Linked DNA regions of Arabidopsis thaliana. The protein of the gene in region 2 interacts with the protein of the main gene of each other region in a pairwise test. Each region holds a gene or a part of one and is shown on either strand. Other genes may lie near its edges. The genes, in order: BZIP60 and BZIP17.

The links.
Region 1: the proteins of BZIP17 (region 2) and BZIP60 interact in a two-hybrid assay, tested with the Arabidopsis thaliana proteins (one study listed by BioGRID).

What each region holds. Positions count from the first base shown.
Region 1 is NC_003070.9:16,135,217-16,139,669, reverse strand, and holds BZIP60 (basic region/leucine zipper motif 60), read left to right. Parts: upstream 1-2,206; 5' UTR 2,207-2,210; coding exon 2,211-2,647; intron 2,648-3,157; coding exon 3,158-3,608; 3' UTR 3,609-3,947; downstream 3,948-4,453. Other genes in the region: AT1G42980 (Actin-binding FH2 (formin homology 2) family protein), read right to left, coding at 4,214-4,344, 4,429-4,453. UniProt on the Arabidopsis thaliana protein: Transcription factor involved in the unfolded protein response (UPR). Acts during endoplasmic reticulum stress (ER) by activating unfolded protein response (UPR) target genes via direct binding to the UPR element (UPRE).
Region 2 is NC_003071.7:17,087,041-17,092,604, forward strand, and holds BZIP17 (Basic-leucine zipper (bZIP) transcription factor family protein), read right to left. Parts: upstream 3,517-5,564; 5' UTR 3,287-3,516; coding exon 1,549-3,286; intron 1,211-1,548; coding exon 783-1,210; 3' UTR 525-782; downstream 1-524. UniProt on the Arabidopsis thaliana protein: Transcriptional activator involved in salt and osmotic stress responses. Functions as a stress sensor and transducer in a signaling pathway that resembles an ER stress response.

The DNA.
Region 1 (4,453 bases), on a different chromosome or scaffold from region 2:
GGTTAAATATTTTTAAGAAAATTATTGCTTTTAACGCGTGTTAAAAAGAAATTTATACTATGTCAAATAATATATCATCAAATAAAATTTAAAATTAAGACATGTGAAATCAATACTAAAATTTAAAAAACGTGATGATAATTAGACTAGGACAATTACAACATTGCACAATTTATATAATTTGAGCTAGGCTAGAAAAAAGTGACTTTGAACTAGGTTTAAATCAAATTCACCTTGGTAGTAACAAAAGTAGAGTAAAACCAAGTAAAATAAATTCACGTTGAATTTAGTTTCCCTCGCTATCATGTTCTTCAAATTTTAAAGATGTTACTTAGGACGTTGGGGAAGTTATTTGAAGTTTGGTGAACAAGGAATTGTAGTACATGTGGTAAGTATTCCCGCTTACATACAAACAAAAAAGTAATATACAAAAGGAAATATATGCTTTACGTAGTTAAATAGCTTTGTTAGAGTCCTCTCTATTAGTTTAATTACAAAATTTGCAATCCTTATATTTCTTCATAGGTATTTAATTAGCATTATAAAAGAACTATATCATAGAAAATATACACTATTAACTTTCGATAAGTGACTTTATGAACCACGTCATTAGATCACAAGTCAGGTTAATACAATTGTCCTAAAATTATAATTAATGTAAATAATGTGTTACTAAAATTATAATTACTAATGCTATTATTGACAAGTTCGGTTGATAAGCAAGTCCAAAATCAAATCTCATCAATCAGACTTCTTGGGGACAAGAGATACGACCTCCAAATTTGGTTTTTGTCCAGAAGTTAAAACTAACATCATCTAGCTTTTTAATATTTCTATTGGTGTTTAAAACTTGTCTTCTATTCGTTTCTAATTGAAATTGCACTTTATCTACTTTTTTTAAAATATAATTTAACATTTTATTGAAAAATATATAATCATCAACTGCTTTTAATGTTAAACTACTTTTTAAGTACTTTTTGAAAAAGTGTAATTATTCACACAATCTTGAAATAATTTTCATCGTAAAACAATTTAATAGATGTTAATGTTGGAAATATATAAACATCAGGAATTTGAGGATGGATCTCTGTATACTCCTCATCCTCTGTATTATATTATTTAGATAGAGATTAATGATAATAAGCTACCAAACCATTAGCTAATTCACTATAGTAATATCTATTCCTATTTTAAGTTATGACTACAAAACATTAGCAAATAAACCTTAAATGAGTATGAAGAAAATAGTAAAATATATTTATTCTTTAAAATACATATAATAACAAAAATAAATTTAGAATTGATACAATTAAAGATAAATAATTAATAATAAATGTAAATCTTACATTAATTATTGAATGAACACATAGAAAATAATTAAATAATAACGTGACATTCATATGAAAATAGTAGATCAACTTTCACATATATAATTAGTTCACTCATCTGCTAGAGAACTGAAAATTTTACAAATTCATTCATGTGAGATTGAATGAAGATTAATCACTCATTTAAAATTGAATAAGGAAGATAATCCAGAATGTAACATAAATTGACAATATAATATATGATTTTAATTAACAAATTGATAACTTTCAAAGTCTAGAAGATGGTCACGAAGGAAGAAAAGTCCTCTCGGAGAACAAAGATTCAATCGTGGAAGATGTTGACGGTGACAAAGAGAAAAAGGGACTGAAGAATTTTGATTGATTTCTGAGAAATGGTCAAAGAAGCCTTGCTCTCCTTGGTCTCATTGTCCATCTCAACTACATGTACATCGTTTTGACTATAGCTAACTGGTTTACATAACTGTACCGAAAATAAGAAAATCAAACCAAGAGAAAAGAAGTGAATTAGAACCGAGTTATTAATCACACGAACACTTCACTGAGTACACGTGTTCGGCTGTGATCCTATTCTTCCAGCTTGAAGCCTTCTCATTGGTTGTGTGACGGCACATAAAAACAATAATCCTCTGCTAACAGAAACACTATAACACAGTACACTCCATCACATCATTGGCTAAAAATTCAAAAAACGCGTCCATAATCAACACGTGTCATGCTGACTCTTTTTCTACACATTTACTTGGTCGCAAAGAAATTTAGAAAAGTCTCAAACACAGTTCCTATATAACTCATCTCTCTTCCAATTTCTTAAATTAAATTCGCTTTTTTTTTTCTTCTTTGTATATTTTTTTTTTTTTGACCATGGCGGAGGAATTTGGAAGCATAGATTTACTCGGAGATGAAGATTTCTTCTTCGATTTCGATCCTTCAATCGTAATTGATTCTCTTCCGGCGGAGGATTTTCTTCAGTCTTCACCGGATTCATGGATCGGAGAAATCGAGAATCAATTGATGAACGATGAGAATCATCAAGAGGAGAGTTTTGTGGAATTGGATCAGCAATCGGTTTCAGATTTCATAGCGGATCTACTCGTTGATTATCCAACTAGCGATTCTGGCTCCGTTGATTTGGCGGCTGATAAAGTTCTAACCGTCGATTCTCCCGCCGCCGCTGATGATTCCGGGAAGGAGAATTCGGATTTGGTTGTTGAGAAGAAGTCTAATGATTCTGGTAGCGAGATTCATGATGATGATGACGAAGAAGGAGACGATGATGCTGTGGCTAAAAAACGAAGAAGGTATATCTAATTTTACTCTTGTTTGAAAAGTTAGGGTTTATGGATGGATTTTGTATGTTTGTGTTGATTTTGGTTTCATTAAGATTGTTAAAAGTGTGTTATGCTTTGAGAACAACATTGAGAACTAGGAGATACGTATGTGTAACAGTGAAGATTTGAGAAACGAGTGTTTAAATTTTGCTTGCGTATCTTGTGATATGTTCATGTTATTATGTTTATGTATGTGTGACGTTGAAGAGTTGATTGATTATGAGTGATGTTGATTTTTGTTTCATTTAGATTGCTATAAGTGTGTTATTGTTTTGATAACAACATTGAGAACTAATCATTTAAGTAAATGACTGTTTAAATTTTGGTTGCCTTTAATTATTGTTAATCTTGTGTTAATATTCATGAGCTGATTATGTTCAAACATAGGTATGTGTATTTTGGTTAACTTAAGATTGTTAAAGCCTTTTATGCTATGAAAAGAAACTGAGGTTTGATAATTGGGATGTGATTGTGGTTCAGGAGAGTAAGAAATAGAGATGCGGCGGTTAGATCGAGAGAGAGGAAGAAGGAATATGTACAAGATTTAGAGAAGAAGAGTAAGTATCTCGAAAGAGAATGCTTGAGACTAGGACGTATGCTTGAGTGCTTCGTTGCTGAAAACCAGTCTCTACGTTACTGTTTGCAAAAGGGTAATGGCAATAATACTACCATGATGTCGAAGCAGGAGTCTGCTGTGCTCTTGTTGGAATCCCTGCTGTTGGGTTCCCTGCTTTGGCTTCTGGGAGTAAACTTCATTTGCCTATTCCCTTATATGTCCCACACAAAGTGTTGCCTCCTACGTCCAGAACCAGAAAAGCTGGTTCTAAACGGGCTCGGGAGTAGTAGCAAACCGTCTTATACCGGCGTTAGTCGGAGATGTAAGGGTTCGAGGCCTAGGATGAAATACCAAATCTTAACCCTTGCGGCGTGACAACGCCTTTTTTAACTGCTTCTTTTGCGCATTTTGAGTTGTAGATGAGTGTCTTTTAGTTTTCTCTCTCTTGTTTTGTATTTCGCTGTTGAAAGTTTTCTGTCTAATATCGATAAGTTAACAGTGAATGTGGGTCTTATGGTTATGGATGATATCTATCTAATAATGCTTCTGCCTTTAAAATGTTGATTTTGAGGCATAACTTCAGGTAATATCACTTCTAATTACTAGATAACAATTCATTAGGTTGATTAACATTGATAAAGCTTTTCCTCATGCTAGTTTTTACATGTTTGCTTCATTTGACATTATCACAGTTTTTTTTTTTTTTTTTTTTGTCATCAGATATTATTTAGGGTTCAGACGAGCCAATCTTTGGGATTGTCACAGAGATTTTTGTTTGTAAAATGTTTGGTACGGATGCGTAGGCAGGTAAAAAAAAACGAACAGATAGTTTTATTAGAACAATGAAGATAAGGTAAAACTTCGAATTGTAAAAAAGTTCAAATATTTTCTAGTACATAAGCACTAGAGAAGAGATGATAGATAGTTTGCAGTTCCATCTAAGCAGCATAGAAGTTGTCGATGAAACTAGCTACGGTTCTTTAGAGGTTCCCATTTTGTTTGATGTTCATTTTTCTTTTCTCCAGTATCTCCTTCTCAGCCTCGGCTTGTCTTTCAATCTCCTCGCGAGACTTGTAGAACGTTTCCACGAAACGGGTCAGGATGTTGGTCGCTGCAGATAGGGAGAATAGCCAGAGTAGAAATGAGAACCGCGAAATGTAGACATGAGTACAATAGACAGTAGATGTGATGGTACCTTCCTTGAAGCGAACACCACTTGG
Region 2 (5,564 bases):
AATAAATAGAAAGTTTGTTATCCCGAGACGGCACAGTACCTGGAAGAGAAGGATTCATGACGGCGGAGCTATTGGTGGTGTGAGCCTCATAGCTTTGGGTAATGATGAAAAAAAGAAAGTTCAAGTTCGTCTTCCTGATTGATCCGAGCGTTATGAACTTGAAGAAATGAGAATCCAAGCGTAACAGTGTGATAAAGAAGAAACCAATGAGAGGTAAAAGTTTTTGATGATTTTTTTTTTGCAAAGAGGGAAGTTCACGTGTTATAGGCCTACTTGTTACATTTAAATAATAATATTATTAGCTCTCTTTTTCTGACAATGAAATAAAGAAATTTTAAAAGTGAGCTCAGGTTCATGAATCTGAGGGTTCATGCTAATCCAATTCTCTCTCCGTCGACCTTCAGGTAAAGACTTCTTCTTCTGTCACTTGTGTGCTCATATTCTCCTGCTATCACCGATGCCCCCTTGGCTCAAACCATGGAATCAACTAACTGATCACTTTTGTCTACTTGGATTTCAGCTTCTATTGTAGAATGACATTTTTTGGTCATCGACTTTTGCAATGTATATGAGAGGTTTGATAAAACTTTCTAAGGCTATGAGTTTATAAAAGGTAAAAAAAAAAAGTTACAGCATTCGGATTCTACATCTGGAAACAAAAACCGGACAACGGTATTAGCTAAGGATATTACGTGATACCAGAGAGCAGGTATTTATTCTTTTACATACAAAGCCTATATGAGAGAAGACCTGCTGATATATGTTTCAATCCTCATATGTCTTCAAGTGGTCACAAGATGAGGAGCTCCTGATCGAGGTAGGACACAGGAGTATGTTACATACTTTGCACTGTCCAGAAGCACGACTACAAAAACTCGAGACAGTGATTTTGGTCCCCCAATCATCCCATCTATATCTCCATCACCTCCTTCTCTGGGATCAACAAGCACAGATACAACCATTGATGAAGCAGGCTTGATTTCTTTGCTACTGCTGTTTCTTTGGTGCTCTTTCGTGAGGTTAAAATCTGATCCTGGGAGTGGAATGGGAAGACCACGAAGGATTCTTCTGTTCTGTTGCTTGTGTGTGTCTGTGGTGTTCTTACCGTGTTCAGCAGAGACGTTGGTAGCTGCAGGAATGATGGCTCCAGAGGTTGAGGATACATCAAACTGAAACACTTCAGTGCACATCCCTGAACTAAACATGGGACCTACAATATAGTCATTTAACAAACAAAAAAGGTGTTATTATTTAGTGAACAAGAAAGATATAAACGCTACTACTGCGCTTACAGCTTCTGCCGAGAAAGATGAAGAAAAATATACAATATGAGTAACAATTTCACATGTTCCTTATTAGTGTTTAGTATCTAATCCAGATTATACAATACATCTACTCATGACCAGAGATTTGCTGAAGGTAAGTTAAGCCTCATTAAAATGTTCTTGTGTCTAATATCAAGATATGATAAGGACTAGTATACCTACAATGCCTGCCTACATAACCAAGTCAAGGGAACAGAAAGTAAGATCAAAAACCCATGATTACCTGCAACACCTTCACGGAACCATTGCTGCATTTCACCGTTGGCTGCTTTTGTTTTGACTTGGTCTTTCAGAGTATCAGCAGAGCCAGAGGATAGAGCTTTCTGTTTTTCAGCCTTAGATCTATAGAGATGCTTAGCCAATTCCTCTGTCCTTCCCACGTCAGGTAGAGGCAGTGCAGGGGTATAATCTTTAGAGATCATCAAGTCAGCTTTCCTCTCCTTTGATTCAGAAGCCTTTCTCGAAGCCACGGCTTTCTCACTCGCCAATATAGAATTGATAATCAAATTCCCATCTATCTTCACAAGCTTGTCATTCCTCGGAACAAAGAGTGATGCAACTAGAGGCTCACTACCATTTCCAGGAGTGACAGAACTCTCTGTTGCAGATATATTTTTCCTAGCTCCTCGATCAGAATCTCTCCCACGATGCATCCCATTACTATTAGAAACCCCAGTACCAGCACCACTACGAGATGTATCCAAAACTCTATCCCTATGCTGACTGTAAATCTGGTCAGTAATATAATTAGATCTATAGTTCCCATAAAAAGCACCACTAATTCCTCCATAATTAACGTTCACAATTGGAGCTAATGCACCAAACAAAAATAGACAAAACAGAAGACCCAGAAAACTAATACTAGCCACCTTCTTGGTCTTAGCTTCACTCTTCTTACTCTCGGACTTCTTAGCCTTGGATGTTCCAAGGGTGTTCTGTGGTTTCAACCTAGGAATAGGAATCAAAGGCACTTGAGATCCTTGTTGCTTCACCATATAAGGAGGACAAGGCATCCATGGATAAGGCATTGGAGCCATAGGTGGATACATTCCCATCGGAGGTGGTGGAAGATGCGGCGGGCACATTCCATTGCCACCCAATTGCTGCCTTAGAGTAGCATTCTCAGCCATGAAATACGATATCTTACCGTTCAAATCCGTAATCGTAGAATGCATATTCCTAACCTTTTCTTCAAGCTCCTCGACGTAATGCTTCTTCCTCTGCCTAGAAAGCTGAGCACTTTCACGGTTTCTCATGAGTCTAGCTCTCTTTTTCTCATCTTCTTCACCGGTAACAGCACTAGCGTCAGCATCCTCTCCCGATCTCCTGTACTTACTGTTCCTAGACTCGTCAGTCAAATCCTCATCGATCTCTTTCTTCCTCTTGGTAATAGACGTCGTCGTCGTAGCAGCTTCTTCCACTTTAACCTTCTGGTCGACCGCAACGTTTCTCGATTTAGGCGACGATTCATTTGTAGCTTCCGAAACATCAGAACCGCAATTACCCGAACCCTGAGAGGACAATGGAGTCGGTAGATCTAAATTATGGTCAGCACCGGAGCAACGATCATCGGAATCTCTAGGAGATTCCCGGTTAATGCAACCGGAAGTTGTAATAGTCTTATCTGCATCTTTGGGAACAATACAATCACCGGAAATTCCAGAACTTTCAGACTCCGGAGTGAAATCACCAAACTGTTCTTGATTGGACGTATTGATAGGGATGAGAAACGACTCATTCTCAGCAGGGAAGTAAAGATCGTCCATACCGTCGAAAGTGAGCTCGAATTCACCATCGGGAAACCCCAGATCGGACATTAGTTCACCAATCGGAGTCTGATCGGAGAAATGATCATCTAACGGAGGGATCGAGATGGAATCAAAATCGGACGGAGGAGGGTAGGTGGAATTAGGGTCCGGAGCAGGTGGAGGAGGCTGCTCCTTGGTGATTGGTTCAGCCATTTTGAAACTGAGTTTTAGGGTTAGGGTTTCGAATTTGGGGATGAAGAAGAAGAAGGAGAGATTCAAAAGGAAGAAAGGGGTTATGGAGGAATGAGGTTAGAACACGGGAGAAAGACGACGAGGGGTTTAAAGACAAAGAGGAAGAGGAAGTAGAAGGTGCTTGCTTCCGTCTTCGTCTACTGCGCGTGGGTCTTACGCTCCGGAATCATACTCGCTAACTTACACTAGTGATTCATGAAACTTATAATATCCAAAATTAATCGCTTTCCAAAATAAATGATAAACAGCAAATCTAGAAAAATAAATTGGGAAATTTATTTTGAATAACACTTTTCCTAAGAGTAGCTAAATTAAATTTTATGATGTGCTAGTGGGTTTTTTAATTTTGAATTTGTTTTTGATTGACTATTATATATGTTTAAGATAGTAAGTAGTAATTTTGATCTTCAAAAAAATATTAAACTGTTATTTTTAAAGAATTGACTTAATAGTTCATTTAATATTTGGGAAAGCAGATTTAAATTATTATTTTTTTTTCATAAATTAGGATATCAGTTTTAAGATTTCTTTTAAATATATAATTGACTTAATAGTTCATTTAAAATAATTTACGTAAATTACTTGGGGAATATATCATTTATCTCCCAAAAAATAAACTTAGTAATAATTTTTCGCGATTCGTTATATATCTTTTTTTTTTATATAATTACTTTCTTGATTTCACAAATCTCAAATAGATTGCGTTTAAGGTGACTGCAAAGATATGAATTTCTCACCATACATAATCTCTACAATTGTCTTGATACCAAACTATACGTGTTTCGTAATCGAGGGGGCTATAAAAGTAAAACAAAGCATATGGATTAGTTTGACGTTATAGTTATAGTAGTGTCGATTTGGTAGTGAATACAGAATACTCATGGTCATGGTGCATGTTGTTGACTTTTTGGGATCGAGCTTTGAGACGGGACACCACCAAGTGATTAGTTTTGTGTATCCAAATTTAATTCTTGGGCGTCTAAAATATCTTAGTCTTTGGTGCATTATCATTCTACATAGTCGTCATTTCACGATTATGCTGAATATATATTTGGGTACAAAGGGCAAAAGACAAGGGCGAGTGTAAAACCAAGAAGCAGAGGAAGAGCGTGGGAGATATCGGTATCCACATGTTAAAAGCACGTTGACTTCATTGTGTTGGAGTGAAGGAAGGGTTTTTGTTTGTCTCCGTTAATCTCTTTCTCTCGAAACTTCTCTCTTCTGATCTAAACCCTAAAAATAATGCTATATTATCTCCTCACTTTCCAACTGTGTGTCGTTTTTGAGTCTCTTTTCCGTCACGCATGTCTCCTCTCCCCTCTGCATCGCTCATCATTTCTTCTCTCTCACCTCATACTATCACAAATAGAGTATTGTTTATTGATGCATTTTAAATAGATATAACTATTGGCTTTTCGTTCACGTTCAAAGTTCAAAACTATGAAATAATGAAATCCGCTAGGAAATGAGAAGGTGTATATTGGTATAAAGCATCATTTTTTCACGAGAGTTTTGAAAGACACAAGCCAAAATAATGAAAGACTACATTATATTCTTCACAAAAGAACACAAACTCATCAAAGACTAACATTATGAAAAAGTAAACCCTCTGATCTGATATACGTACCTTTCTTGGGAGGTGCTTGCAAAGAGAGGTGGTGGTGGGTGCAATGAAAATCTAATCCATACTTTGACCACCGTTGAAAATAGACAACTTTGTAGAATTAGAGATAAACATGTGACTGTGGTCCGTTATAAGAAATTAGAATAAACAGGTTACAGACTAAATGTGTGCTCGTTTACATACATGGTTTTATAAGTTCAACCACAAATAAGCTTACATCTATCGGAATTTTTTTTTCCAAAACAACTTCGACTTCTCTCTTATGATCTTATCTAAACCGACTAGTAATTCCAATTTAATCTTATTCGAGTTTTTTTTTTTTTTTTTTTTTTGGTAATAGAAAGAAATAAGATCAAACGTTGGTCGCAAACGTGGAATGTGTTGAAATAACCCATCAATCAAACACTCAAGGTGTGAATGGTAACAAACTAACAATGGTAATAAGCTTTAGGGATTTTCAATAGCATCATATTATATGCACTAACTAAAAATAGCTCCCACAAGGCCACACCAATTTTTTTATAAAAATAAAAGCAATAAGGTATTTTTACCTTTTTAAAATTCATTAAAAAAAAAAAATCAACATTAAAATAGTTATCTTCCCTCTCCTTGGGT